Xenopus tropicalis: one gene and its partner. The protein of the gene in region 1 binds, or shares a complex with, the protein of each later gene. Links are inferred from orthologs where the notes say so. Each region holds a gene or a part of one and is shown in the gene's direction. Other genes may lie near its edges. The genes, in order: adgrg1 and cd81.

Region 1 (16,123 bases):
CAGTTTATGCAGATGCTGGAAAAAAGAAAAGCATTTACCCTCTATTATTTTTTAGTCCTACTACACGTCTTGCCATTCCAAATTTAAGATTATTTACCAGTTCTCTTTGTAGTAGAATATGCACATGGTCATTTTAAAACTGACACATTCGATATTAATAAATAATGAGGGTATAGTTTATATTTTTATAATACAATTATCATATCAAAATTTCAAAATCAGTGAAACTTGTGCATTATAATAAATTATGTAAAATGATGTAAAAAATTAGGATATTGGGAGTTCCCTGACCCATATAAAAACACTAGGCCTTCGGCCTCATACCTTAATATGGTCAACCAAATGTAATTAAGCAGTTAGGATCATGTAGCATTAGATTATAAAGAGAGACCATTTCATCTACAGGGAAAAATAAGAGCCACTAAAATGCTCAGATATTCTCTGGTACTATGTTTCACTTAGGTGTGGAGTTGTGTTAAAAGGTAAGTACAATTTTACTGGATACAGTACGCTATAAGGTGGCCATACATGGGCTAATTGTAGCTGCCGATATCAGTTACTTAGACCGATTCGGCAGCTTATCGGCCTGTCTAGGGGCACAAATGACAGGCCTGTCCGACCGAAATCTGGCCTGATCTGGCCTGAAATTGGCCAGATATCGATCGGAGGTTAAAAAATTTAGTCGGATCAGGGAACGCATTGGCTCGTTTATGCGTTCCCTGAACCAATTGCACCTATTACCGGTGTTCTAATTCGATCGTTTGGCCCTAGGGCCAAACAACCGAATTATCCTGAATTCACCCTATATTGTCCACCCGTAGGTGGAGGATATCGTGAGAAGTTCCGCTCACTTGGCGACCTCACCAGGCAAGTGGATCTTAATTATGGCCACCTTAACACCTGTAATGAAATCATTGGTTCAGTGACACCAGTGAGTATGTGCTGAAAAAATCTAAAAGAAACAGCTTTAAATAAGCTATTTATTTATTTATATAGAAAATGCTTATACACATACAGTTATGTGTAAGGCAGAATAAAAGATGTAGAATATTTCGTAATTCCTTTTGTCAGCTCTGAAAGGTCAAGCTGATAAAGCAATACAGCAATGTTCACAATGCCTTATCATTTCCTTTCATTGTTACAGAAACTGGCCCTTGCATGACATTGCTGTTCCTATATTTCACATTCTTTTTTACCCTGGAAATTACTACTGTTCAAGTCAATAACAAATATTAATGGGATACATTATACTTTGCTGTAATATATTCTAAGTGCAAAAATTCACAAAAAGGAAGTGGTAGCACGCCAAGCAAAATACATAAGTAAAATGTGCGAGTGATCAGGCTAATTTAGCTACAAACCTATAAAATATAGGGGATTGATTAATGCATATTCCCTGGTCCCCTATTTCATTAGTACTTGACCAAATGCATATATTTTTTAAAAATGGGGTTTTAGTTACAAAGTCTGATCATAAAATTGCCAATCCACCATATCACTTCAAGGTAAACCCCACTTTTTTCCCTGGAGTTGTGTGTGTAAAATTGCATTTATAATACTATAGCTAATTTCAGCTTCCATAATTCTGTTCTGTAACAGCCATGCTTCTTCTTATTTCTCTCACCTCAATACTCCATAACCACTATATTTAGCGATCTATAGGCGTGCCCACTACTGATCAATTCCTCCTATCTTTTTTGTGCATCTCACCCTTTCACTTATTTATCCCTTTACTGTTCACCTCATTAGCCTAACACAGTTACAAAGTCTTAAACCAAGTAAAGTTGAAACATTGACAAAAGTTCATGAAGTTCAATATCTGCTGTTAGCTAAATATTTCTCTCTCCAACTCCTCTGCCTTCATATTTCAGGAAAAAAACCTGCCACTGAGTTTGGATGTTTGTCTTATTAGACAGCTAGGAAGGAATGCTGCCAGATCCTCCTGGGTGGTAATTACTTTACTTGAAAGTTTTTTTTAAAGTTACAATTTTAAATGTAACTTAATTTGAAGTTTCTCGCAGCCTCACAAGAGGTAAGCTATTATAATAACTGGAGATTGCCTACCAGAAACAGCTTTCAAATGCAGTTCTTTTTTAAATATACAAATAACACCACTGAACATTTTTTTTATAGTGTATAGTTTAAATGTTGTTTCAATAAGTAAAAAAATATGTTCACTTTGTACCGGGTAGGGAGGGGAAGGACAATACTTACAAAATTATATCTCTCATTCACTTTGCCAAAAAGAGACAAATACCTGCAATGATTTTAACGACAGACGCGGAAAAAGCTTTTGACAGGGTCTCCTGGCCCTTCCTAAGACAGACACTGGCTGGAATTGGATTGGGGGAAATAACCATCAACAGAATCATGGCACTATACCAAGAACCTACAGCCCGCGTTAGAGTAAATGGCTCACTCTCACCACAGATTCATATACACAATGGAACCAGACAGGGGTGCCCCCTTTCCCCGCTCCTTTTTGTGTTAGTGATGGAAACCTTACTAGCACACATAAGGGGAAACCCTGATATCTCAGGCATTATAACAGGCAAAAGAGAACATAAGATAGCAGCATTCGCAGACGACCTATTACTAGTCATTACAAAACCCAACATAACGCTACCGAATGTAATGCAGCTGCTCCTACAATTTGGCAAAGTATCAAACTTCAAGGTAAATGTAAGCAAGTCAGAAGCCATAAATATCAATCTCCCAATCTCAACAAAAACTAAACTAGAACAGAATTTCCCATTCCAGTGGTCCCCCAACAAGATTAAACATTTAGGAATATTGCTAACACCCGACCTCTCCAAGCTATACCAAGCTAATTTTGTCCCATTAATAGACAAGGTGGACAAACAACTGAAAAGGTGGAAAACGCTAGGCCTATCATGGTTTGGGAAAATACAGGCAATTAAAATGTCTATAATGCCACAAATTCTCTACTATCTCCAAACCATACCTATTAAGATCCCTAAAATATTTTTCCAATCAATTAAGAGAACAATATCCAATTTCATTTGGGGAGACAAAACCCCCAGACTCAAATACGAAACCCTAATTCTCCCCAAAAGCAAAGGAGGACTATCAGTCCCAGACACTTACCGGTACTACGCATCGATCCACCTGGTGCGAACCCTCCACTGGTACCTGCAAAGTAAGCAGAAAATATGGGTGGAAACCGAACAAGCACTGTACAAAATCCCACTAAGCAACTTACTATGGGCCCAACCCACAAATATACCCAAGGAAACGTTATCACACCCTGCTATAGCGGCAACACTAGAAATCTGGAACAAACACAGACAACAACTTATCACAACAACACCCTTCCCCAAATTCCAAACACTGATAGCAAACCCAGAATTCCCCCCCAGCTTAGACACTAGGGCCTTTGCAAGATGGGGAACTTATAAGGAAAGAGAAACCAGGTTAACTGATTTTTATAAAAAAAGGAAAATCATAAATCTGGCAAGCATTCAAAAAATTTGGGGACCCCACCCCAGAGACGCATGATGCTACAACCAACTACATCATTACCTAAACAAATTTAAAGGAACACCACCTAGTAACCAAACAACTACATGGGAAAGTTTGATAGAAACCCAGAAATTACCTACAAGACCGCTGTCTTATACATACCAATTTCTGCTGATAAACTATAATACCCCCCAGCAGGGCTATTTTGATGCAGAGAAAAAATACTAACAAATATCCACAAATCCTCCAGAGCATCAAGAATACGGGAGATGCTCTTCAAAATAACCACCAGATGGTACTATGTGCCCGAGAAGCTAAATAAGCTTTTCCCAAATGCTAGCAACAAATGCTGGAGATGCGACTCTGAGGTGGGGTCCTTCAAACATATATGGTTCTCATGTACAGCTTTGACAAAGTTCTGGAGTAAAGTGTGTGAAACAACCAGCAATATCACTAATAGCAATATACACCCCTCCAACCTCCCCCTGCTTCTACTATACTATGATGGCAACAGCAAGGTAATTGTAAAAGATAAATTGACACTCCACTTACTGCATGCAGCAAAAGCATTAATCCCCAAAAAGTGGAAATCAATAAACCCCCCTACAGTAAAGGAATGGATCACTCTAGTAGAAGAAACTAGGAAACTAGAAGAAATCACAGCCTTGCTGCATAATAAGATCCAACAGTATCATAGTACTTGGAACCCCTGGATAAATTTGCTAAAGTAAGATAATACTACTATAATAGGACAAAATCCTAGGAACGAGAACCTACATACCAACAGGTGACCTAAGATGTAATGAATATGCAATGTATTTTACTATCTTTGTATAACAAAACTCGCTGTTAACCCTGTCAAAACATAATGGACAATGAATACTGTAACTTTTGCCGAACCCACCCCCCCCCTTTTTATCTTCTGTACCCCTCCCCCCCCCCTTTTTCTCTTTTGTACCCCCCCCCCCTCTTTGAATGAAAAATCAATAAAAGTAAGATTTTGAAAAAAAAAAAAAATATGTTCACATATAGATTGCCATCTGCTTTATTATTCCGCCATTCTTTGTTATCCAAGATATCTATATTTTCTATTAAGGTAGTAGACCTGACAAAGCAAATACAGAAGCACAACAGCAGTAACATTAAGTCTAATATGTGTGAATATTGCATAAAGATGATATTAATATCGTTTTCTATCTTTGTCAGGCATTATATGCAAATGTGCAGAGACAATTTGTATTTCTACAAAAAAATCTAGGTACTTTTATACATTAATCTTTATTTAAATGACTGTGATACAAATCTCTAAGTACATGGCATAGTTTGTAGAGAATTAGTACTAGTAAAGCCATGGCTGTATAATTGATCTAATTACTTTTAGGGCTCTGGCACACGGGGAGATTAGTCGCCCGCGACAAATCTCCCTTGTCACAGGCAACTAATCTCCCCGAACTACCATCCCACCGGCGAAAATGTAAGTCGCTGGTGGGATGGCACACGCTGCACAGGCGATTTTGGCAAATTGCCGAAGTTGCCTCGCGAGGCAAAACTAATCGCAACTAATCTCCCCGTGTGCCAGAGCCCTTACTAGACATTTTCATCTGGCTGAACTCTCATCAGAGAGTTCCATCAGACCATGCTCCTAGGCCTGTGTAGCTCTCCCCTTGCTGGCTTCATCAAAGGGTATAATTACATAAAGAGAAGTGATAAGGATAATTTTAGCAGTAGACTCCAAAACACCACTGGCTTCAGTACTTCTACTGCACCTATTACTTATCAAGGTGTAAGGTGCAGCTACTTAATACACTAAAAAAAACTCTGCTAAATATGTAAGAGTATATATATATATATATATATATATATACTGTATATATATATATATATATATATATATATATATATATATATATATATATATATATAATCCTGGGGATTTGGGCCGAATCCAGGCTGTTTTTGAAGGATATATATTTACAGAGATTATACATCATTCCCTGCTCCAGCAGAGCATACAGTCTAATGCAGTGATCCCCAACCAGTGGCTCGGGGGCAACATGTTGCTCCCCAACCCATTAGATGTTGCTCTCAGTGCCCCCAAACCAGGTAGTTATTTTTGAATTCCTGACTTGGGGGCAAGTTTTGGTTGAATAAAAACAAGATTTCCTACCAAATAAATCCCCTGTAAGCTGATAGTGTGCATAGAGGCTACCTAATAGCCAACCTTAGCCCTTATTTGGCTCCTCCATGAACTTTTGTGATGAATGCGTTGCTCTCTCAAGTCTTTTTACATTTGACTGTGGCTCATGAGTAACAAAGGTTGGGGACCCCTGGTCTAATGTCTCTATCACACTCACACACACACTAGTGCTAATATACCTGCTTGCATGTTTTGAAGTTACATTTGGAAAGAAACCCACGCACACAAGGGGAAGACATACAGACTTCTTGCAAACAGTACCCAAGCTGGAATCAAACCAAAACTTTGACCTTAAATAAACTTTTTTTTTTTTTTTTTTTTTACCTTTCTCAAGAAACGTTCTCTGGGCATTACCAAAATGCTGAAAGTTTTTTCCCCTTTATGTCTCACCTATACTGGGGCACATTTTGTCCCATTAAGGTAGCACCTAGGCTATTAATATTTCTTCTTGCAGTAATATGATACTGGAATGACACTGTACAGTGAAATGACACTGTACTGTGTCTCACTGAGCATACATAGGATCACCCCTACAACATTTGCTGCTTGGTAAGCCATAGCCAAATTAATATTGTTTGGGCGCTAAGGCCTAAAAAATGAGATGATGCAGTTCATTCTCAGAAATTCACACTTATTAAATAAATAAATAAATAAATACATAGATAAATAAATGCATTTACTTATTTCTGGTTTCTGCACTAAGGCGAATTTGCAATAGCACAGGAGCCAGTTTGATTACATCTGGTTTTTTTTCTAATGTGTCTGCTACCTGGTTTAAATGTATGTTAGAAGTAAATGGAAAGTGTCTGTCAGTGGAGACTGGCATTATATTTTTCAGTGAGATGGTTGCAGTGACCAAGACTGTGTAGAGTGAAAACCTTTTTTCCACACTACAGTCTAGGATGTTAACATTTTGGAAAAGTGATCCCCAAGCAGTTGCTCGTGAGCTGTGATGCTGTTTCTCACCAATCCCATTGATGTTGCTCTCAGTGGCCTCAATGTAAGTGCTTTTTTAAATTACTCGCTTGGAGGCAGATTTTGGAGGCATAAAAACACAAGTTTATGCCAACAGAATTTCCTGCAAGCTAGCAGCCCACATGTGGCTACCAGTTAGCTTAGAATTTTTTCATGCTTGTATGGCTCCCCAACAGTTTTTACATTTGAGTGTGGCTCCCAGGTAAAAAGAAGGTTGGTGATCCCTGTTTTGGAAAAAGAAGCGAGCCAGAGATTGGTATTGTGAATCTTTGGATTACAGATTACAGTTTAGTCTGAAACAAGGCAGGGATGTCTCCCCACGTATCAGGGTTTGCTGCCTACTTTAGTAGGTTTCTCAACAAAGCCTGCTTTGTTTTTAGAATGGTTTGTCTGTGGTTCAGAATACTAAGGTTCCAGTTGTGAGATTGCATTCCTGCCTCTGCACTTGTAGTTGCCATGTGCTGTGCAAGCAAATGCTTGGTGCTGCACTCTGGGAACCAGAAGCAAGTATTCTGCAGAAACTTCAAACCAGCAGTGTGGTAAGTTTTCCTACTCGTCTCTCTGTGTTTCATAATTCTTTCTCTGCTTCCATACAGAACAAAGAACATTTTAGGTTAAACTGTATATTTTATTTTAACACATTTCAAATTCATGTGTGGAATACATGTGGCTTGTAAGGTAACAACAAGATTGGGCAAGCTTTAGCCCCCCCTGTTGCTACCTTACTGCAACTCTCAGTATCTCACAAACAGTCAAAGGCTGTGGTAAATGATGCATATTCTCTGTAAAACATTGTGGAATATATCAACACTATATAAATTATAATAATAGTATATGCATTTTGAGCATCTGTGAATTATGTGTTTATTAGGTTTTATTTGAAAGTAGTTGACTGTCAGCAATGAGGAAACTTGAGTATTTGTGTAACCGAAAGTCTACCTTTTTTTTAAAGCAGACTTCTCATTAAAAGGGAAGTAAAAGAACCACATGTTTTCAGTAGCTGTTGTAAAATATGGGCCTCTATTATCTATTTTATCTGTAGCTTTGTTTGTATATCAGCTGTTAAAACCTTTATAAATAAAATAATAATACTAAAACAAGAATAAGTGTTCTTTCACAATACAGACTTGAGTTTCAGAGTTGTCAGCAGTTTACCTGATAATATGCTTATAGCGGTACAGTGGATGTCAGATGACATACCCAGGACTTACATCAGAAGTTGGTGGATTTGAGTTTTGCTGTACTGATTCGAGCGCATGCATAGAATATATTGTACAGACAGTGGAGCTAACTGAGATCACATGAAAAGTCTGTGGCAGAAACCCAACCTTTGAAACACTAAAATTCACATTTGCGTTTGTATTGTGTACTGTAATCAAAAAGTTTAAATTGTCCTTTCTTTCTAAAAACAGCAGTTATGTCATGCTTAATGGCCAAACCTCTAGTTTATTTAAATGTATGAAATTCAGACCATGGTGTTGAAACCTACTGTTTACATCACTGCTTCCTATAACAGGATTGGTTAAAATGATAAAGCTTAGCAAGAAACAACAGCTCCTCTGCAGTTTTAATATGTGTATTTTATGAAAACTGATTTTCTTTAATAACAGAAAACTAACCAGCTCTTACTGCATATTGTGATAAGTAAATCTGTCCTGTTTCGCTGCTATGTGAAGTCAGTGGACATGTGGTAATGAAAATATTTTCACTCATCATTTCATATAATGCATACACAGGTATTAGATTTGTATATTAAATCTATCCTTAATGCTTGGTACCCGATGTTTTCCAGATAGATTGGAAGAAGTCTCTCTGTACTCTAGAGAACCATACAATAAGGCCCTGTTTTTTAAAGTGATACCGACGCTAAAAAAAACTACTCTTCAAAATATTAATGTACATTAATGGGCTTATTTATCAATTTTTGAGTTTTGTGAATCAAGTTTGTTTTTCTAAATCAATAAACTTACATATCTAATGCTCGCTTTTTTGAGTTTACAAACTCAGCCATTGACTTCTATAGAAGATGATAGATGGCAAATTTTTACAAAAATAAGAATTGTTCAATTAGACTTTGTAGGAAGTAGTATTTTTGAGCTTTCTCGACACCAATTCCATCGCAAAAACTTTAAATTGCATAAACACATAGGTTTGCATCAAAGGATTCAGAACACTGAGTTGGGTGACTACCAAGATTTTTCAGCAAGATTACTCTTCTAACAAATTGTTAAGATTATGCCGGCTGAAATCCTAAACTTTAATTTTCCTGTGATGCCTGGGTGTAGTTAGTGTTTTTAGGAGCTGAAATTAATATTCTCTTTCTCCGTAAAAATACAGGAAGCTAGTAGTATGCCAAAAATACAGGGAGCTAGTATGACACAGAAAAATACAAGCAGCTATTTAATATATCCTAATAGGGCATTTGTACAGAAATGCTTCAGTAAAAGCACTGAATGGTTGTGTAACAGTGACCACAAAAATAAAAGCATCAGACAGGACCTGCCGTCTCTAGCTGAATGGCAGATAAGAAAAGGAAACACATGCAGGGCTCAGATAAAACACAGCAGCTTGAAGTAGAACAACAAAGTGGCTCATACAGAAGGATAGGAAATGGAACTGGCATTTGGGGTCTGTTGCCTTGCCCTCTTTCCACATATAATTAGAGAACATAGAAATCCAGGTTCTTCCTGACACGTTACACAGGTGTTTGTTTATATTCATGCCAATCATAATCCATTTTTATGCTGACATTTAGTAATTGGTTTCTAATTATTATTAATATAGTTATTTAGGTATACATTCAGGTATTAGTTTCATTTGTTACTAGGTAGTGGAAATTATAAAGTGGTTCACATAAACAATGATAAAATATGGCAATGCTGAGCAGCTCTGTATATTGTGATGCTGCTTCTACTGCAAGTTTGTCGCTAAGTTTCCCCTTCTAAAACAACCTGTACCAAGTGCTCCCAGCATCTCTATAGTATGTAGATCCTGATCTGAGTGAATAATAACAATCAATGCATGAGTACCTGGTTTGAATGTGTTACTTAAAGCTGGGATTGGGTGATCTTCAGAGTTAATTTTCTGAGGAGTGTTCCATGACATTAGGGCTGTTACACTTCTGGTCTCATCTCGTGTAAAATTGGGCACAGTTTTCACTGGCCTTTAAGTGGGAAGCCAATATAATGGAATGTGAAGACTACAGGGTGTTAAAGAAAGTACACGTCCCATGTGGAATGGGTGTACTTATCTGCACTGGCCTGACATGACATCATGGTGATCTGGTTGGAGGATAGGATGACTGGCATCAATAAATAAGAGTAAATAGGTGGTTCAGGCTAATGATTTCATAGCTGCCAAATGCCCTCAATTTTGCATTACCAGATCACTTGAAAAGTCATTAATGCTTCTTATAAATGTGTTGCAGGGCTGCACTGATTGCATTTAAGTTAAACTGCATTAAATCTCATCCATTTTAGCTAGATGTGTCCCTGAATTGTTAAGTGATTGGTTAACCCTATATTAATATTCAGGGGTAGTCCATGTCCATTTAAATATACAGAAGTTCTCTGATTACCTTCTGCCAAAGAGCACATACTAGATACACAACAGTTTCAATGGTGTGCTAAACACCAAGGGGTATATTTATAAAAATGTGAGTTTAGAGCTCACCACAGATCAATTCACATATTTTCTGTTCATTTCTATGGGATTTTTAGAAGCGACTTTATCTATAAAAGTTAGACTTTACTAATTGATAAATACGCTTCTAAAAATCCCATAGGAATTGATAGTAAGTGGGTGAATTTTTCTTTGATGAGCTCTTATTTCGCATTTTGATACATTTGCCCCCAAATGTACCGTGTGACTGTTAAATGGATATTTAGTAAATGGCGTGCTAAAAGCATAGTTTGCAAATTTTCATCCCAGTGTCTTTCTGGGCTTTGTTTTGCACTGTAACATACACTTTAGGTAGAGCTAGTCTGATCTTGCTTGAATTCCTCATAAGCTTTCACTAACATGACTGAACAGACAGTCCATATTCCACTTTTTGTTTGTAAATTGAAAAAAATTGTGACTGATAAATTTCACCTTTTGACTCCACACATGCTGGCAGCTCATGCAATCTTCTGTTAACTCCACAAACGGCTCCTGTGACAGAGATGTATTGACCTATGCAGATTATACAGTGTATATCTTCATTTTGGAACAGATCTGACTCCCTGATCTGATACTTTAAGGTGCCCATACACGTGATCCGCTCGCTTGGTGATCGAATTATAATGGCGGCAATGGGGCAGTCGGTTCGACTAAATCTTTTAACCTGTCCGATAGATATCTGGCCAATTTGAGGCCAGATATCGGTCAGACATGCCCCTCGTTCCTGCCCCTACACGGGGAGATAAGCTGCCGAATCGAGCGTTATCGGCAGCTATAATCGGGCTGTGTACCTTTACAGTCCTTTTACGCGAAATAATGTGCTGCTAGTTTAACTCCCACTAGGACAAATCTTAGCTTTTAAACTTTAGAAACATTTCATCAACTAAAAAACAAAACATTAACAGGTGCAATAAAGTGCGGGAGTTTTAGCTGGACTAGAGATCAGAAGAGAAAGTTTGGTACAAATTGTGGGACAATCTCAGGAAAAATTCTATGACGGGGCATCTAAACCAGGTACACTGCCAAAAAGAACCTCCTGCAGGCTTCCAGTCCACATAAGGGGTACTACATAGCCAATCATAGCCCTTATTTTTGGCATCCCCAGACACAGTTTTCATGCTTGTGTTGCTCCCCTAACTTATTTTACATTTAAATGTGACTCACGGGTACAAAATGTTGTGGGACTGTGCTTTAGAGGCTGCCTTACTGTAGGAACAAGGTTCCATAACTGGTGGACCTGCATATAGACAGCTATATTATTTCAACCCACATCATAAAAATCATTATTAGTAATTTATTGTGTAATTCATTTTAACCCCTTTAGTTAGTACTTATCTACAGATTCACAATTCATAACATTACATAATTATGCCAGAATTCATCAGTATTAAAACATATTACACAGCTGTGATTGGAAAGAAGGCCCACTTTTATTTGGGTTTGTGCATGGCTGGTAAAAGTAAGCCATTTAAGTCTCCTTAAATTCAATAATGACCGATGTACACAACGAAGATCCGCTAAATCTAAAGAGTTACATTGGGTAGTATTTGCCTTTTCAATATGAGATTAGAGCTTAGAGTTGGTTAATAAAAAAAAAGTAAAAGGTGGGCCTGAGAGTTGGCCCCTTTATTGGAGCTCCCTATAGATCCTATCAGTTCTCATACAGTAAATCCGATTTCTCTCAGCATACTTTCCCGCTCCTTCAGCACACACACCAGTCCCACGCTCAAACTTACACGGGTCACTGCCCCTCACCGCGCTGACTTGCAGGGAAAGATAGATGCCACTTCTCTTGGAGAACTAACCCTGGGCTATAAATAAGACTCTCCATATTGAAAAAACTAACACTACCTTATGTGACTCATTTATTGTATTTTCTCGCTGTATGTTGGTCATTACTGCATGCAGTGATTTTTAGGTAAGTAAATGGAGCAGGACTAGTAATGCATTTAGGTGTCTGCATCTGTGCCTTTACAGAGAATGGTTCTGTTTGTGAGTCGATCCCTAAGATCAGTGACAGACAACAGCCCATATGAGACTGCAATTTTGCTTGTCCTGACCAGAAAAGTGGGGGAGGGCTTCAGAGGCCATTTTTGGAAGCAGGTAGATAGAGTTAGCTTCCTACATAGTTAGGCCTGTAGGGACTGATGAGTGACATCAACCAACTCTTGGAATACAGCAGTGAATACAAGGGTTGGAACCAAAGCATTTCAATTTGGCTACACTGAAGAATGGTAGTGGTCTTTGTGAGACTACTTTCTTTTACAGTCATATAATACAATGCAGTGAAAACAGCTAGAGAGATCTAGCAATGCAGTATATTTCTAAAAGAGTAAAATTAGAGTTTGCCAGAGGAATATTCCGCCACTCTCTATTCATTTCTATGGGGTTTTCAGAAGCATATTTATCAAATGGTGAATTCTCATTTTCACCTGCTGATAAATCAGTCTTTAAAAATCCCATAGAAATTAACAGAAAGTGGAGGAATTTCACTGTGGAAAGCTCTAATTTGATTCTTATGAATATGCCCCAAGGGGTGAAAACATCCATAACATATCTCTCAACATTTAAAATTATAAACTGTGATCATTTATGTCCCGGAGCCACATTACCAACCCAGGTATTTTCAGTACTTCCAAAGTCCTGCCTAAAAAAGGACAAGTGTGCCATATGTCATGTAAAAAACATAATTTATTGGAATTGGTCCCTGGGTAACGATCCAACTAGTGATCCCAACAATCCCACCTCAAACACGAGGTTTGTGGGTGTACTACCATATTTGTAAAAAGCTCAAAAATCTAGGCGTGATAAAGAATAATATAGTTAAATATACCTTTGAGCTCATTAAGGGGTGAAGATAAAAGGAACATATTTCATTTGAATTATCCATACGATGTGTTGTGTGTGCATATTTACAACTAGCTTAATCAGAGTATCCTGCTTATAGTTTGTGCTTGTGCCCCAGCAAGTATGAATTGCAGTGCCATTAAAGCAACTGTAAACCCAGTTTTAAAAATATTGCGTGTTGTCTGCCACAGATTGAATGACCTAATTTTGTGGCTCCTTAATTTGTACTCAAACAAACAAAACCTTACAACTCTATACTACATGGGACACCACAAAAAAAGTCTGCACTTAATATGAGAGCATTTATTAGCAACATCCTAAAAGAAATTAAAAGAAGTGTATGTTATAGAGCCATTCCATCTGTTTGCAGGAGGGGTTGCCATATTTGCATGATACATTTGAAAATTATAAATTCAATTCTTTTGGTACTTTACCCATCACATTGGCCCTGGGTAAATGCCCCCTTTTCCCATTTATTAAAGCAGCTTTTATGTTGCCTGCAATTTTTATACCAGCTGGTGAGTGTGACCTTAAAAATACTTTATGCCTGGATGCTAATTTATCTGAATTATTAAATTAAAAAGAAGCTTTGATCAGCTGCAGTGGTAAAGCCAATGGCAGTGCTCATTTACCACTGATACACAGGCAGTAGCTTTGAGTTAGGCAACATTGCACTTTTCAGGGCTAAACCATCAAGAACTTAGGCCTGTTCCATTCGCAGGCCCTCCTGTCACCTTGTCCCAGATTTATTTACCTTAAGTTGCAGAGTGCTGCTCAGATGGATACATGGTTGCCCTCTACTCAAGTCTGCCATGAGCATGACATAACTACAGGAATTCTCGGCATCATGTGGCAAATATATAACAGGTGATTTATAAAGGGCAAACACAGTTGTGGTCGCACAAAGATGGTCGCAGTTGTTGTGCAAATGCTCCAATCATTAAAGGTCCTTTAAAGGTACTGTGTTCAGAAAGTTGCAATATGATAGGTCTGTTCCTAGCTGAGTCTGGATAAATATACAAAAGTAAAGTAGACTGAAAAGTAGTGAAAAATATAATTAACGTTAAACTGGAGTGAAAAGAACATCACATTTACAAAAATCCTAATCCATTACCTGAAAACAGCGATTTTGGTCACTTTAGAGTAGACGTAATTTCTCCAAAAAAATCTGTAGTACTTCCAACAACTTGGTGTAGAGTAATGTTAAAAACAAAAATACTTAATAAAGGAGAGAATTAAAGGAACAGTAACACCAAAAAATGAAAGTGTATAAAAGTAATAAGAATAAAATATACTGCTGCCCTGCATTGGTACAACTGGTGTGTCAGAAATTTATGTAAACAAAGCTGCTGTTTAGCCACGGGGGCAGCCATTCAAAGGAGAAAAGGCACAGGCACATAGGAGATAACAGATAAACACTATTGTATTCTAGAGAGGTCATCTGTTATCTGCTATGTAACCTGTGCCTTTTCTCCTTTTTTCCAACTTTAATGGCTGCCCCCATGGCTACACAACAGCTTATTTATATAAACTATAGTAGCGTTACTGTAGCAAACACACAACTTTTACAAGTGCAGGGCAACAGTACATTATATTTTAATTACTTCAAAAAAACTTTCATTTTTTAGTGTTACTGTTCCTTTAATAGAAATTCTTAATGCAACTACATTTATAACTAGGGTTGCCACATTTTTAAATGTTTTACTAACAGATATTGGGGCAGGCCGTGGGAGGAAGAAGAGGGTATTACAAATTTCCCCAGAAGTGCATTGCTAGTACATTCGTAATACTGGCTTTGGCATTGGCTGGTAAATTTCAAGGGGAAATAAAGAAAAACAGGCAGGCACTCCGGATAAATATAGCGTTCTTGGTAGCTCAACAAGTTAAAGTAAAATCAGTATAGTTTATTTAAACTTACACATAATGCTATAGAGCCTATACTGATTTTACTTTAACTTGTTGAGCTACCAAGAACACTTTATTTATCCGGAGTGCCTGCCTGTTTTTCTTGATTTCCCATTATTGGCTCCCTGAAGCTAAAGGTCTGGGGCATGAGCACCCGGACCCCCTACTACTGTGGGTAAGGATTTTACCTCAATCATCTGAGTTTTATGTACTCTTGATTTTTGGATTGTTTTGGTAAATTTCAAGCTGGACTGGTGAAATACTGGCTGGGCGGCAACCCTATTTACAGCACACATACATAGTATAGGGTGATCATTAAAGGATTTAACACAGTGGTGTAACTACATTTACTACTAACTTACCATAATCATAGGGAGAAATGGTTCGTACTTGGCCCCTCTGAAGATTCTTTTGTGGTGGGGCCTGGGGCTTCCAAGGTACACTACTGATTTAACACGTGTAAATGCACCAGCCTAGCTGGTAAAATACCAGCCAAGGCTGGTATTACACATTTATGAACAACATACTTGATAATTTGTAATAACATCTCAATCCATCCCAGCCCATCTCTGATCTGTCACTTTCTCCCTTTCCTACATAATATTTTGTCATCTAAAAAATTGTCACCTTCAGTTTTTCAGTGACATGATTTTAATACATTTCCTGTATTTATATGGAGACTGGGATCCTAGATTTGTGTACCACTTTTTGCTTCTGTACCACCCTTGTGATTCTGAACAGAACCAGTTTGACTCCACCGGAACCTGTTGCTGTTAAGTTAAAGTTAACTAAGTAACAATCATTCGTCATCAAGGGGAGCCCAGTTGAACATTTTGCACAGGACACAATTTCCCTTAAAGGTGTAGTTCACCTTAAAATGTACTTTTAGTATGTAATATTTTGAGACAATTTGCAATTGGTCTTAACTTTTTTGTTTTTGTGGTGTCTTAATTATTTAGGTTTTTGTTCAGCAACTCTACAGTTTGGAAATTCAGCTGCTATCGATTGCTAGGGTCCGGTTTGCCATAGCACCCAGGCAGCAGTTTGAATGAAAGA
Region 2 (16,173 bases), about 54 Mb from region 1:
ATCACAGAGCATCTGAAATAAAGATCAGCATTACATACTAATAACAGTAATAAAAATCTCAGTTGGGAAGTCTGTTTTTTCCAGTTGTTAGAGTTAAATCATAGCAACCAGATGGCTCCACTCTGAATTTCACATCTCTTTCATTCTCCTTTTATTTTACAGGTGCCCTTTCCTTTTAATGCCAAGAGAGATGCAGAGAAACGAGAATAACCTATATTGTGATCCTTCACTAAATATTTATACAGAAGTATAGTGAATGTAGCCTCTCAAACACTGCATATTTGCCCTTTAACACTGCGTACAGGCATTTATCTCTTAGCACGCTGACACTCATCCTTCTGTCAAGGAAGTCAGAGAAGGAAAGGGAAATCACTTCCCATACATTACATGTCTAATTTAAAACAGAAGGCCACACCTTCAATTTGGGCCTTAGGATCCCTCTGCTTTGGCCCCCCGCCCATTGCTAAGGGTTTCAGACTTGAAACAAGAGAACAGCCCTGTGTAGGAGTTTTTATATGTTCCCCCATCCCTGTTTGCATGGCTTTCCTCTAGGTACACCAGTTCACACTCTATAATAAAATACTATAATAGAAAGAAGCATAATGGCAGTGCCACAGGCGCCCAAGGCAAGGATGCCTGCTTGTCCAACACCCAACCCTGGCTGCCACCAACCTCCCACCTATAGCTTGTGTCACCAAACCCTCCTTACTCTCCCCTCCATGCAGGAGTAGGCAGCAGAGGTATGTGCCTAGGGTCCCATCATCCTAGCATCCTGTTGTGCCATAGCCACATGGCTCTGCTGCCAACCCATAGCTCTTGCCTTGCTTAATAGTTGGTTTAGGGGGGTTATGGCCAGTGATTAGGATGTTGTGGCTAGCCTGTTTGAGAGGACTGCAGCTTAGACAATCCTAAAACTGCTAGCTGAGCCAAAATATCTATAAGTTGGGGGAAAGAGCAAAACAAGCATATTAATTAAAGCAAGTAAATATACAGTACTTTGTGAAATTTCTTGAAAAAGGCAACTTGAGCATTAATCAAGCAAGAATGAAATAGGAGTGTAAGGAAATGAGTTGTTTGTTGTAATATTTTCATGTGCAGCAAATGAATACATTTAGATTTAAGTTTCAAAAGGAAAGTGGATGCTGAATGCTGCATCTGTGAGCATAAGAAGATCAAAATGTCCTGTGGGCATATTCAGTGAATCTTTAAGGGGCACTGCCCAAGTTGGTGGCTGATACTGCACTCCAGTTGCTCTTTCTGTAGGGTTGCCATCTGGCCGGTGTTTGACTGGCCTAGCCGGTAAACCCAAAAGGCCACTATTATGCACATCTTCCTATCTTCCGGTCGACAGTAGTAATAGCCAAGTACCCTGTTTTCCATCATTTTGGATTACAAAATGTATTTGTAATCCCTTTAACTGAAAAAGCCTGTTAAGGAGCCTGGATTTTTTGCAGCCAATTTATAGAAGATATAGGGATTGCGTAGTGGAAAGCAATTGGGGCCTAACAAGGCATGGCCAAAAAATTCCTTTTTCCAACAGATTGATGTTACTGTAGTAAAGCACTGTCTGCTGCTCTAATCTAAGCTTCTGCCTGGCTCATTGTTGTTAATAGTCCAATAGAGATGAAGCAAGGAGCTTTGACACCCAAGGCAGAACTGGACCCAAACCATTGCTCCCACCTTGGTTAGTGGCAGGTGCAGACCAGCTGACATGGGAGCAGCGAAGAGAGTCTGATGCCCCACAGAGAGAGTTAGTCGCCTGCGTAATATCTCGGCTATTGCGGTTGACTAGCCATTCTGAAATGCCTTTCCAGGGGCCTTTGCATTGCTTCAGTTTTCAGAAGTTGCGCGAAGTTACCTACAGGAGGAAACTTTGTGCAACATTGGAAAACCAAAGTGATGTGGGGGCTAACCACTCCAAACTGCCTTTCCACCAGCAACAATATGGGTCACTGGTGACAAGGCTATTCAGAGCAGTTAGTTGCCCATGATAGCAGATATCTCGGGCAACTAACACCCTTCGTGGGACATCAGTCTAAAAGTTGATTAAATAATGAGCTGCTAAGATAGCAGATGACTCTACTGCCTATCCCTTGTTTAGGTCTGGTTTTGGCTGGGGATAGGCCATGCTTTGCTAATGTGGCACTTGCTGTTAGGCTGTTGATATAGGCTGTTCGGCCTTGGGGGCAAATGATCGCATCAGCACCATTCGGCTAACACCTGCGTGGCCAAATCAAGCAAAGTTTTTTTTAGTTTGGTGACTGTGTCCAAACAGATCTTTGAATGTATAGCAAGTTTATGTTTTCCTCCCTTTTATCTCATCTAACAGGGCTATTAGGCTGGCCATATGCCAACAATTCACTCTTTTGCCAAGGACGTTGTGGCAGCTTGCCTGGTTGGTTGAAGACCTTTACTGGCATATCTTTGGATTTTAACCAATATGGACAGGTCCTTTTTGCATAACAAACAGAACTCAAAGTGGCCTGTGTAATTTGTTTGCTTGCATGTGAGCAAATCAGAATGGGAGACCCAACTATTTGCCCTTTCAGCCTCAAGTTTCTATAGTGTTCGGGTGCTTCTTCGCCCCCCTGAAATACACTTTCCACAGCCTTAGGCACCGCAGCCTCAGGGAAAATGGTTTGGTCCGGTCAGCTTTAGCCTGAAATCTATGAAAGTTGGGTTAAGGTGGCCATACACAGGAAGATTTGAGTCCTTCAGACCAATTTTGAATCAGCTTATCTGGCAGTGTATGGGCCCTAGGGCCAAACGATCGAATTAGCCATTATATGCTAGTTCTCAATACCCCAGCAATCCCTCTCATAAGATATCCCTCTGTATCAGTGCTCACATCCTTTCTTGATGAAATGCAAGCATTTCAGATATTTCCTCTGGTGCCTATTTTTAAGTGCGCCCAGGTCAGAGCTTTATTTCCCCCTCCTCTCTGCGCGCAGACACAAACTCACTCATTAGTTTCAGTTCTTCATTATAAAAGAAACGGATACAGACGCATTTACACCAAGGCTGACTTAATGAAACCTTGTGGCCCCGAGCCAACAAGCCAAACGAACAAATTAAATAAAAGCAGGGGTGGAAAAATTGAATTAGGCATTTAACAAATTCAGCTGCCCAACATGTTTTGCCTCAGCGTTATCCCACGCTGCACTGCTTCTCCCAGTATGCTCCCACAGCCGATGTTAGGCCGCAAGTTAAGGATATAGTTGTGGTGCTTTATACCATTGTCAATAATGGTGCTGCCAAACTATCCAACTATCTGCCATTGCAGCTAAATATATCCTATTGTAATCCTTTTCTAAATGATGGATCTTGCAAGACAAACAAATTGTGCCAAAACAATAAAAACAAGACTTTAAAAAAAAAAAAAAAAAAAAAAAGTTATTCCTGCTGCCCCATAAGGCATTCATATTCAAGTAAAAAAGAATTCTTACTTCATATCCCAAGCCAGTGATCATCTTTGGTGAAAAAACTAACCTGGAGTATCTTCTATGGGCATGCCACACTGCCAACCTGACTCCCGGGCACTCTCTTCACTGTAGCCTGAAACCTACTAGATGGCGGGGTGTTCAGGTGTACAAATTGCACCTAGATGAGGCCAAAGGAAGGTGGTGGGCCTGGACCTCTCCTGGCCCAGCCCCACCAGCAATGCCCTAGCCATCCCAGCCCTTTCTGGTGGCTGTTGGGTTTGCATCACCATTTCTGCCCCCCAGGCCCAGACTGGCAAATCCCAGAGGGGCTGCAGTAAGAGGCCATAGACAGTCACTATTTATTGGGCTTGTGGGGGCTGTTTGGGCCTCTGTGTACTTTAAATGCCAGGGCCTATTTTGAATCCCAGTCTGGACTTGTGTATAGGCCAGTGAATGAGCTAATAGGGGTGGAGTTGTAATATTATAGGGTAGAGTTGTGATGTGATATGGAGGAGCATAAATGGACAAAGTGGGTCAAATTTAATGAGTAGGAAGGGATTGAGAGCATAGAAGGGGAGGGCAAAGGGGTTATTGGGACAGGCCAGGGGCAGAACAACTATGGAAAACAAATGTATTGGATCTTGACTGCCTGCCCCCTTCCCTTGCAGCACAGGTGCCAGTTGCAGAACTAAATGGGTATATACCCCCTCAGGTCTACTGTTGGGTTTAAACGCTAGTTTCTGAAAGGGCACTGGGGGGATTTTTGTAGAGCATTTTTTTATATATATACATTGGCCCAGATACCAGTGAACTTGACTTTTCCTATCCTATCCTATGTAGACCTACACATGCATCTGATAAAATAACGTTGATGAACCACTATGAGCCCTTAAGAAACACATAACAAGTCGCCCTTAAAGAGGAAATTTTCTTAATAAAGGTAGGCAGAAATTCCAGCACAAGTACACTGTACGCCGCCCCTCAATTTAAAGGGAAATGCTGCAGTGTGCCTAAAGGAAATGGCAGGAGTTTACAGCTAGGGAAATATGTGCCTGGCCCATCTGGCAGGAAATGTACCAGAGACAAGAGACTTAAAATAAAAATCAGCCAAGCGATTTATGCTGATGTATTCCACACGTCTCCCCCAGCTCCGACACACACCCCGCACCCCTCACACTTTTATTTTAGCCTCACATACCCACTTCCCTAACAAGCATGCTACTGTTACCCCCACCCTGCCCTTTATAGTTTCCCTTCCAATTTCCCAACTGTACTTTCCATCTGTTTGGGGTTTAACCCTTTAGCAAAAGACAGAGGTCCTTTTTTTCCCCTAATTTAAACATTGCAAAAGGGAAAGCCCCTCTCTCCCGCTCCTGAACATGGGATTGTGTAAATATTAATCACACAGGCCTCTCGCTGTCAGAGGATGCTGGGAGCTGTAGTAGTGTGGCTCAAGGGCCGTGGGTAGATTGAGGGGGTTCATCAACATAAATCAATAATCGAAGACAATATATAAATAATCTAAATTCTTAATTCTCATTTTTTAAATATTTACATTTATAGTTATGTAATTCTAAAGGTGGCCATACACGCACCGATAATATCGTACGAAACCTCGTTTCGTACGATATTCGGTGCGTGTATGGTATGTCGGCGAGTCAACCGATATCGCAGGAAGCTGCTGATATTGGCCGACTCGCCGATCGGACCAGTTTGAAAATTTTGATCGGGCGCCATAGAAGGCGCCTGACCAAAATCTCCCTTCAGCGCTGAATTGGCAGAAGGAGGTAGAAATCCTATTGTTTCTACCTCCTTACCTGTCGATTCAGCCCTGAATGGTGTGCGGCGGATCTGACGATGTTTCGTGCGACCACGTGTATGGCCAGCCAAGTTCCAGCTGCTTACTGGTTGCTAAGGATTAATTGCCTTAGCAACCAAGAAGCCATCAGAAAGGAAGAGGGGAAGGTCCATAGGAACAGACCAAAATAAAAAGTGAGGTAATTACAAATACACATACAACTAATCCCTCACACTTTTTTTGTTGTTGCTGGTCTCAGACGACCAGATAGCATGTTTTGTAACAGCACAAACGTCCTTATCACCTTCCTTATTCTATATAGAGATATTTAGATGGAACTTTATCAGTTTCAACTATTTAACATGAGTTTTCTGTGGAGAAATAACAAGGAATGCTGGGAAATGGCGTTGAAAACACAGTGAGTAGTAGTGCAAGGGACACAAGCGCCTCAGGAGGATACCCCAACCCTGATAGCCATTGGCTTGTGAGGAAGCCCCCCTTCCTTAAAAGGAGGGGGGGGGGGGCAGGGGAGGGGAGTGGGCGTGGCACAGACACTGTATGGGGAGGCGGCTTGGCTGTGTCTGCACCTTGTCTCTCCGCTCTCGCATCTCTGATCCGCTTTACAGCTAATAAGGGACAGGGGAACGCTCAGCGCAGCCGCCATGGGGGTAGAAGGATGCACCAAATGCATTAAATATCTGCTCTTTGTCTTCAACTTCATCTTCTGGGTGAGTGTGCCTTATCCATTGGGTATTTGTAAGGGTACAAACGAGGGGGGCACAGGGTTCCACTGACCCCCCCCCCCCCATCGCCATTCCTACAGATCCTGAGATAGCGCTTAGGGGGGTGAGGGTTGGCTGGAACCTGGGAATCGTAGTGTTTGTGAGTTGGGAGGGGGGTGATGGGGCGGAATTATATCAGGGTGGGGAATGGATGAACCCTGTAGCACAGTGCGTTCCAGCCAGGGAAAGGGTCGCTCGGTGCCAGCCCTGCTGTTTCCCATGGATTTCAGTGTGGCTGTAATGGGAGGGGGGGGATCATTCTGTGCCCCCTCCTCTGTCCTACTCAGTAACCAACAACAGCCCCTCTGCAGGGTCTCCAACACCACGTGGTGCAGAGGGGGAATAGTGGGGGCTGCTGAGCCCAACTGGGCAGTTTAGCCCCTCCTTACCCATAGCCCCTCATGTATCACAATAACATTGCCCTATATATATATATATATATATACACCCCTGGCACAGATAGGCATCCCCAGCCACTGGCCCCCAGCATTAACAGGCGGCAACTCTCTCCTTGTGCTTTAAATTGCACTCTAGGCGGGATGCTGGGAGTTGTATTACAGAACAGCTGCCGATTGGACAGCACTGATGTTATGTACTGGGATTAAAGACTGTGGGAAAATTGCGGGGATTGCTATTGAGCAACAGGCAGGGCGCAACTGGTTGGGAGTAGCTGCCCATTGCCTTTCCCTTATTTCTTTAAAATCTTAGGCTTTATTATAATGCTATGCTGATACAGTGGGTGCATGCTAAGCAAAACTGAGGGTGATTATCATCATGCTTATTGCATGTATGTTACACACACAGTATTCACAGACAGGGCAAAGGATTACAGTGCTGTACAATAGAGCGGCGTATATATCAAACCATAACGATTATATACAAATACTGACTGTTATAGGAAGTACAGAGGGCCCTGCTCAGTAGAGTTTCCAGTCTATAAGGTGCAGGATGTATAATTGTACAACAGTTGTGACAATGGAAATGATAATACTGCGGAAACAATTTCAGTGGGCGTGTTTACACTATACTTGTGACGTACAGCGTTGTGTTTGTGCCTGTGTTGCCCCCAAAATGCATCCATCTGTTCAAAGAATTATGTATTTATGTATATAATCACATCCACAAGCCAGTTTCTCTTTATAGTGACTTTATAGTGTTTGCTTATTGGCTGCTTTGTTATATAAAGGTATGGAAAGGTTATTTTTATTTACAGCAAAAAATCCAGCCCCCAGAACTGTATGCGTTGGAAGATACAATAGAGTGCTTTAAGTGTAGAATTTCTAGTGTCAGGAGGGATTAAAATTGATGATTCCAACATGTTTGCCATCTTTAGAATAATCTGGCCATTAGAATGGGGCCCATTGGTGTATTGGAGTCAGAGGATAAGGCATTAGGGTGAAGACAGACGGGGCAATTGGTCACCGCGATTTTTAAAATTCAATCGCAGCAACTAATTGCCACCACTAATTGCCGCAACAACACGGAGGTTGGATGACTAATTAGGATTACACTGTAATGACATCATTTGGTTAAGATGTGCTTATAAAGCATTTTTCATTGGGTTATACATTCCTTACATTGTTTATTGGCCATATGTGTTTATGTGTACATGAGTGGGCGGGTTGACTATCTGCTACCACATTGCTATGCTAGGATGTAAGGCTCCCTTCCATGCATCTGTTTTGAATTAATAGTTCATAACAGCATGAAGAATGGCAGTGTGTAGAAAATGGCACCTGGGTGTAAGTTGTCCTATAATGTCCAATCAGGAGTGGGGCCCCTAAGCTCATCTCTTAGTAGAGCAACATGAGGGAAGCTTATTAATCTCCTTAATAATAGGGAGAGATGGTGCCTATAGTAACAGTGAGATAATAGCCTCTGGGAAGGGACTTTGGCTGTGGAATAGCAGGTATAGTAGGGAGAGATGGTGCCTATAGTAGCAGTGGGGGGATAATAGGCTCTGGGAAGGGACTGGGGCTGTGGGATAGCAGGTATAGTAGGGAGAGAATTTTATTAAAATATATTTAACAAATACAATAAAACAATAATTACATTTCAATCAAGCAAAAAACAAAAACCAAAAAAACATAAATCAATATTACATCAAAAACAAAACGTACTTTCCTGCAAAGCATCTTATTTCTTACAGATCATTATAAAACACATATCAAGAGGCATCTTTATGTTTCTTTTTTTGAGAATTGTCCAAACATTTCCCAGCAGACCGTTTAACCTGTACCCGCACACCTGCCCCCTGACTCTCCATCACACTTTCCTCCTCCAACTCCCCTTCCTCCAGTGACTCCTTTTCTGCCCCCTGAGACTGAAAAGCCCCTTCCCTTTTGCTCTTCTTCCTGCTGGAGATGATATCAGATGAGAGACTTTTCCTTTTCTCCCTCTCCTCCTCCTCCTCCATTCTCTCCAACTCTACCTGTTCCTCTGCTAAATCCCCCCATGACTTCCCTCCTGGCAAAACAAACCTATTTTCAGTTGGGAGGGTAATTACACCTGGGCACTGAGCCTCCTTAGCTTTATTTGATTTGCTGCCCACCACTATCCAACCATCCCCTCCGCCTCCCTCCTCTTGGGCTGCCTGTACCGCTGCCTGTGCCTTTGCCTGTTTGTTCTCCCCCTCTTTCCCTCTCACCTCTGTTGGGCGCCCCCTGTCTGTCTCTCTTGCCCCACCTGCCCTCTCCTCCCCCCTTCCCTCAGTCTGGGGCAAGTTCTCCCCTGGCATTGGGGTACTCATTACTTTTTCCAGATTGGGACAAGCCTTCCTAATGTTGCGCCAGGCGTCGGGGCAGGCCCTATAAGCATGGCCGGATTGCATACACAGGTTACACTTTATTGCTTTGACACACTCCTTGCTTGGGTGCCCAGTCTCCCCACACAAAGCACATTTCTGTATGTTGCACTTTACAGCATAATGTCTGTTGGACCCACATTTATAGCATAGCCTGGGCTGGCCCACATAGAAACAGACACCCCTTGCTTTCCCAATGAAAAAGGAATTTGGGAGATGTTTCTGAACATTCTGATCCACATGCAATTTCACTTGGACTTTATACCCCCCTACCCAGAATCCCTCCTCATCAAACACCGGCTCTAGGGGGGATAGGACAGTGCACTGGCGCCGGAGCCATATGAGGATGTCCTGCTCATGCACTGTCTCTCTCTTCATGATAATGGTGACCAGTTTGGTTTCGGGTTTGGACACAGGGATTACCCTAAACCCCTCCCATTCCTTGGCCTCTTTACTCAGATGGTACCGCCTCCAGAACTCCTCTAACCCTTGGGATAGCTTATAGCTTAAATCAAACTCTGTGTCTGTGACACTCAGCAAGGCATAAACGTCCTGTGGGGTAAAACCCAGCAACTGTTTAATAATGTTTCTGCCCACAAACCTGCGCCCCGGGAAATCCTCCCTCTCTTTCTCCCACTTAATTTTCACAACATTTTTCCTCTTATCAAACTCATCATCAAACTCCTCATCCTGCTCACGTGCAAAGAATCTCCTTCCCTCCCAAAACACTGCCCCCCGCAGCCCCAGCAACACTCTCAGTCCCCCCATGCACATTGCTTTCCCAGCAGAATAAACGACATTTTTTCCTTCCCCTCCCCCCTCACTCACACACATTGCATTACCTGCAATCACCTGCACCTCAGCTGCACCACTCCCAGCCACTTGCACCTCAGCTGCCCCAGCACTCACTGCCCCTCCCCCCTCACTCACACACATTGCATTACCTGCAATCACCTGCACCTCAGCTGCCACCACTCTCAGCTGCTTGCCCCACACTGCCCCCAGCACTCACCCCACTAACGGCAGCTGCACACACACTATCAGTATGGGAAAGACCGTTACTATGCACAATGTTAGTAGCAACGCTACATTCAGTAAAAGTTTTTGAAACTTCAGTCTCTTTGAGCAGTTCAGCAACTTTAGCAGTCTCTCAGCAGTCACATTGCCCCTCTTTCATCTGCTCAAATCTCTGTTTGTTGTCATACAGTTCCTTCCATGGCTCTATAACAGCCAAAATGTCTTTAATGTTAATTTCAGTCTCTTCCAGCTCCTTATTGTGGAAAGCCAACTCCCTGATGTACTGAGTTCTCCTCTCTCCTCTCAGCAACTTCTGATTTTTTATCAGTCTGTCAATGTCTCTGTTTAAATTGTTTTGCTTCTCCTCCAAACACCGCAGCTCCTTCAAAGCATTAATTATTGTATCATACTGTATTACAGTCTCAGTACCTTTGTGCACTTCCCCAGCCTTCCCCAGGGGCCCGGCAGCCATTACCTGCTCACTCTCCAGGGCCACACGGCTTCCATGCACCTCACAAGCAGCAGCCATTTCCTGGTCACTCCGAGCGCTTTCTGCAACTTTTAGGGCCACACAGCTTCCATGTTCCTCACAGGCAGCAGCCATTTCCTGGTTGGTCAGAGCACTTTCTGCAACTTCCAGGGCCACATGGCTTCCAAGCTCCTCACTGCCAGCAGCCATTTTGCAGTCATCAGACTCTCCTCTCACCTCCTGGTCTGCCTCTGTTGTAGCTCCGCAGCTCCCTGCAGTTACTCCAACACCGGCGCCCAGGTCCTCAGAGTCACTCTCCATGCCGCTTTGGGAACAGGTTTTGCTTTTCTTTTCCTTCCCTTTAAGAGAGCAGGAAACATTGCCCTCTGCAGTGCGCTCCACTGTCACCACAATGTTGGACCCAGTGGCCTTCTTGCTGCTTCTCAAACGGGTTTTCACTACCCGGCTAAACGGTTTAATCGCTTTCTTCCCCATTGAGTAGGGAAAAACAGCAAAAAACAAAGAAAAAATACCCACAAAAACTAACCCCCAGACCCAGCCGGGCCTGGGAGAAAGTCACAACTCCACAGAGCACTCAGAGCACCTCCACTCAGTAGCAACAGCAATGAGCAAATGGCCTCTGGGAAGGGGGTGTGGCTGTGGGATAGCAGGTATAGTAGGGAGAGATGGTGCCTATAGTAGCAGTGGGATAATAGCCTCTGGGAAGGGACTGTGGCTGTGGGATAGCAGGTATAGTAGGGAGAGATGGTGCCTATTGTAGCAGTGGGGGGATAATAGCCTCTGGGAAGGGACTGGGGCTGTGGGATAGCAGGTATAGTAGGGAGAGATGGTGCCTATAGTAGCAGTGGGGATAATAGCCTCTGGGAAGGGACTGGGGCTGTGGGATAGCAGGTATAGTAGGGAGAGATGGTGCCTATAGTAGCAGTGGGGATAATAGCCCCTGGGAAGGGACTGTGGCTGTGGGATAGCAGGTATAGTAGGGAGAGATGGTGCCTATAGTAGCAGTGGGGGGATAATAGCCTCTGGGAAGGGACTGTGGCTGTGGAATAGCAGGTATAGTAGGGAGAGATGGTGCCTATAGTAGCAGTGGGGGGATAATAGCCTCTGGGAAGGGACTGGGGCTGTGGGATAGCAGCTATAGTAGGGAGAGACGGTGCCTATAGTAGCAGTGGGAGGATAATAGCCTCTGGGAAGGGACTGGGGCTGTGGGATAGCAGGTATAGTAGGGAGAGATGGTGCCTATAGTAGCAGTGGGGGGATAATAGCCTCTGGGAAGGGACTGGGGCTGTGGGATAGCAGGTATAGTAGGGTGAGATGGTATTGTCGACATTGTTTGTATATATAAGGGATGCTCCTGCTGAATCTGGCTGTGTGTGCAGCATTAGGACTAGGCAATGAGGTGTTACCTGTGGGAGTTCCATCCTTTGAGGCAAAGTTTCCAGTGATATGGAATATTTATTTATTTTCTTCCTGTGTGTCTATTGTGGAAAATAAACCAGCCCTTAACAAAAGCAGCAGTCTGTTATTTAGTGTTTATGAAATATTTACAATTTGGCATAGCCCCACCCTTCCTTAGCCCACCATTTTAAAGGCAAAGTAATGCCACAGTGCCTACCTTTCCAAGAAAAAATATGCAGCTATTTGTGTTTGACAGTTATATATACACGTATTTTTGTCTTTGTCTGGGCAATGTCTGTGTCAATTCAGCACTGAGTAGTAACTAAGGCTGCTGTCTTTGAGGTATTTTACACGACAGTAATAGGGAAGAAAGGTAGCAGCTATAAAAAGTGTGCTATATTTTTCCCAGAAAACATGGGAATTCTAACCGATAAGAACCAGTTAGCTCTGATTGGTCAAATGCAGTAAGACTAATGAAAGCAAAACTCTTACTGGTTGCTGTGAAGAAGCTGAAAGGGGCATCTCTCTGTCTCTCTCAGATGATGTGCTTTGGGCCTGAGGCCTAAGGACAGGCTTTTCTATGGTTGTTGTTTTTGACTGACACAGGTGGCAGTGGTTTTAAACCCTTTTCTGCGCATATAAATCAGAAACCTAAAGCCTACACTACCCTCTGTGTGCCTGCGTATGTAACCGATCACTCTGAAAATAACTCTCGTTTCCCACCCACCCCCGTGGTAATTATTACTCAGTGTGATCAGACTAACAGTTGGGTGACAGAGAAAGAAACCAGCATGCAAGAAACATTACCCCAATTGGCAGATCAGAGTGTATAATGAAGAAGTGTGGCGGTGAAATTATTATCAAACCCTTTACATTTCTTTAGAATTAAGAAATATTTTTTTTAGGGAAATTGCCCAAGTGTAGAGCAGTGCAGTAAGGTTGGCAGCTTATTGATACCATTACAGGTCAGTCAGTCATCACAGAAGGCTATGGAGAGGCAGTTTTGAGTGTGTTTTGCTGGCCCTTGAGACGGCTCCTGCGATACCACCCCTCGGCCCCCCACACTTACCTTTACAACGTCAGAGGGAGTCCAGGGAGGCCTCATTGCTAGTGTAGAGCAATCTCTTAACTAGTAGAGCCGAATTTGAGCCGCACTCAAAAAGCCGCTCCTGGTAACTTTGAGGGCCCTGCCGTCTGAGGCGAGTTTCTCAACTCACCTCATGGCAGCAGCCCCCCTGCACCTGCGGAGCTGGAAAAAATGATGGATGATTGGCTATTATGTTGCCGCTATGCACACTATCAGCTTACAGGGGGCTTTATTTGGTAGCAATCTTGTTTTTATTCAACCAAAACTTGCTGCCAGGTCAGGAATTCAAAAATAATTACCTGGTTTGGGGGCACTGAGAGCAACATCCAAGGGGTTGGTTGCCCCCAAGCCACTGGTTGGGGATCACTGCTTTAATATAATCAACCAATACACATTCTAGTAAGCTTGCCAAGCCCTCGTATATATTGTTGCTTTTGATAACTACAGGGGTCACTTGGCGACCACAATTGCCACACTTTTACTGGTTCCTCAGCAAGAGTTAACTTCAACAAATCTTTTTGTGTGGTGAAGTCCCTCAAAAGTTTCCTCAAGCTGCCTGTGAATTGTGTGGGCACAAATTCTCCTCTGTTGGAGCCTCCTGTCTTTGTTGCACTGGCTCACACATCTAGAGCCACATTTCCCTCCCACAGACCAAGAAATGGGCCAAACAGGTGCTTAAATGTATTGGGATACATTATTCTTCTAATGGCATGTCGCTGTTCTTTTTCATTGTTTGGATGTGTTTTCCATTTTAAGTGAGCAGTTGGGCATTTTATAACTTAGTTGGGAGGCCACTAAACTCTTGGGCAATGATACATGGAGCTATTAGTAGCCAGTTACTTGTCACAGCTACAAAATAGACAATACTGATAGTGTCATAGCCTTTATTTATGTTGTCCTGCTGAATCAGGCTTGGAATACCTGTTCTCACTTGTGTTAAGTCTAGAGCAGTGATCCCTAACAAGTGGCTCAGGGGCAACATGTTGCTTACCGAGCCCTGATGACCCCCTTTGATGTGGCCTCAAAGTAGGTGCCCATTTTTAAATTTCTGGCTTGTAGCCTCCTGCACTCAAGCAGACCACATGGGGCTACCAAATAGCCAATTGCAGTCCTTATTTGGCATCCCCAAAGAACTTTTTTGATGCTTCTGTGGCTCACCTTTTGGTGTGTGGCTCATAAATAAAAAAGGTTGGGGATCCCTGGTCTTGAGTTACCAGCCATATTTGAATGGCCACTCCCTACAGACCGATAGAGCCACCCTATTGCACTGCATAAGGATATAAAGATACAGTGAGGGGATAGGGATACAGTCAGAAAAAACAAATCTGGTTACACATTTTGTTCCTTTTCACACTCTACTGTGAGACTGCTGGTAATTGGCTTTATAGACCAATTTGTGGTGCAACCACAGCAGAACAAAGATGATGGAAAACTAAGCAGACTGATGTCTAGAGTTTGTGATTCTCTTTAGCAAATAGGACTGTAAGCTGATCAGTTTTTTCAATATAATGAATTGATGTGTTGGGCCAAATTATACTCTGAGACCTGATCAATTCTAATAATTTGTTGGCAGAATTAAACACTCCCTATATAGATATTAGGGCTCATTTATGTCTGCAAGCACAGTGGGCAACTTGTGCTTTTCCCTGCTGTCAGAACTTGCGTCAAAATGTGCGTTATGCACTTCTGTATAGTTGAGCTTGGTGCTTCTCAGTCCTCCTTACCTTACTTTCCAAATTGGGTGATGCTGCACCTAATTAAGCAGAGAAACCCTGGAGCTACCGCCACCTCCTAAACCGGGCACCATACATCAATAGGCCCAGTACACTTGCACCCAAAGAATTGAGTGTAGACATCACTTGTATGCCGAACAACGAAAATGATAGCAGGCAGACTTCTAAAATATTTGACAAATTAAACGCAATTATGTCAGGCACAGTGCAACTCCCGCTTATGGCATCAAGGACACTTGCATTCTGAGAAAAAATTCTGCATTGTGGGAGAAACATGGCAACTGTGCTCGAAGTTGCAATTTGCTCACTGCATCTGCAGACATAAATGAGCTCTATTGGCTACTGATTTTTCTTGACCAAACTGGAAGCCCATTGGATAGTGGCCTTTTCTTCAGTCTTGTTTACATATTGAAAGTATGGTCAGCCAGGGACAGAATTCAACCCTGTCTTTGGCAGCAGCACTACACTCCCTCTGGCTTACCTACAAGATGCGGTTTATCACATGGGTGATGGAATCAGAGATCTTACATGAATGAGTCTGCATCACCTTCAGCAGGAAGGCAGAAGAAAGAGGCATGTAATCGTGCAAATGGCAAACAGAAAGTGAAAATAAGGTATAGGCTGATGTCCCATGGGGGACATTTAGCCACCCCTGATAGATCTCTGCTACCGCGTGCAACTTATCTCTGCAAAGTGCCTTTCCATCACAACAATAATACAGTAATAATCAACAACAATACAATCTCTCCAATAGTGCCTTTCCAAACAACAATACAAGTCAAAGTTTCCTCCTGCAGGCAAGTTCGTGCGACTTTGGAAAACCAAAGCGATGCATAGGCCTTTCCACCAGTGACTCGATTGTTGCCGGTGGAAAGGCATTTTGGAGAGTCTAGTCCCCCACGGTAGCAGAGATCTATCACAGACGAATATATCTCTATGGGACATCAGCCTTAACATAGCGGGTAAGAAGATTTTACTCTCTGATCTGCTACATTAGTTTCTGCCCTACCGCACGCCCCTTTTTTTTATTTGGGGGGGGGGTTGCATCTTCTCTGGTGTCAGTCTGGGGGCCGCACCCTTCTGTTACCAGCTGTGAGGGTCTCCTGCCAAATAAATTCTTTCTGCCCCTGCTCTAGCTTTTTATAGACACAGGGGAAGTTTTGTGACTCTCTGTCTATGCCTAATAATACATTTAACCCTTTGCCGTGCGTAGCTACTCGTCAAACGGAACCTTCCCCTGTGCGTTGTTGCATATCAATTCCTAGACGTACCATAGCAAGGGAAGTGCATACAGAAGCACAAAATATAAGGTAAACCACAGCACAGAAGGTGAGGGTTGTGAGGTTTTAAAGGGGTAAACATAAAGCTCCCCTATAATAGGAGGAGTGCCTTATATTTTATCATGTGTTTAAAGGGGCAGTAACACCAATAAAAACATCCTGTATGAAAACCCTTGTGGTTTATTGTATCAAACATGATGTATACAAATATCTACAACAGCCAGTAATTGGTGACAAATGTCGCCACGTGTTTTGTTGCCGCTTTTTTAGAGAAAACGTGTCACTACTCAATGCCTACCAGTCTTCTATGGTGACATTAGTGTGGAGAAATACACAAATGGATCCAGTTACACTATTTATAAA

Evidence for each region.
Region 2: adgrg1 (region 1) and cd81 share a complex: the UniProt entries of both Homo sapiens proteins name them as parts of the GPCR-tetraspanin complex. The link is inferred for Xenopus tropicalis from reciprocal best matches to the Homo sapiens genes ADGRG1 and CD81.

The regions. Positions count from the first base shown.
Region 1 is NC_030680.2:76,186,176-76,202,298, reverse strand, and holds the start of adgrg1 (adhesion G-protein coupled receptor G1), read left to right. Parts: upstream 1-7,096; 5' UTR 7,097-7,111; coding exon 7,112-7,194; intron 7,195-16,123. UniProt on the Homo sapiens protein: Adhesion G-protein coupled receptor (aGPCR) for steroid hormone 17alpha-hydroxypregnenolone (17-OH), which is involved in cell adhesion and cell-cell interactions.
Region 2 is NC_030680.2:22,302,905-22,319,077, forward strand, and holds the start of cd81 (CD81 antigen), read left to right. Parts: upstream 1-5,816; 5' UTR 5,817-5,882; coding exon 5,883-5,948; intron 5,949-16,173. UniProt on the Homo sapiens protein: Structural component of specialized membrane microdomains known as tetraspanin-enriched microdomains (TERMs), which act as platforms for receptor clustering and signaling.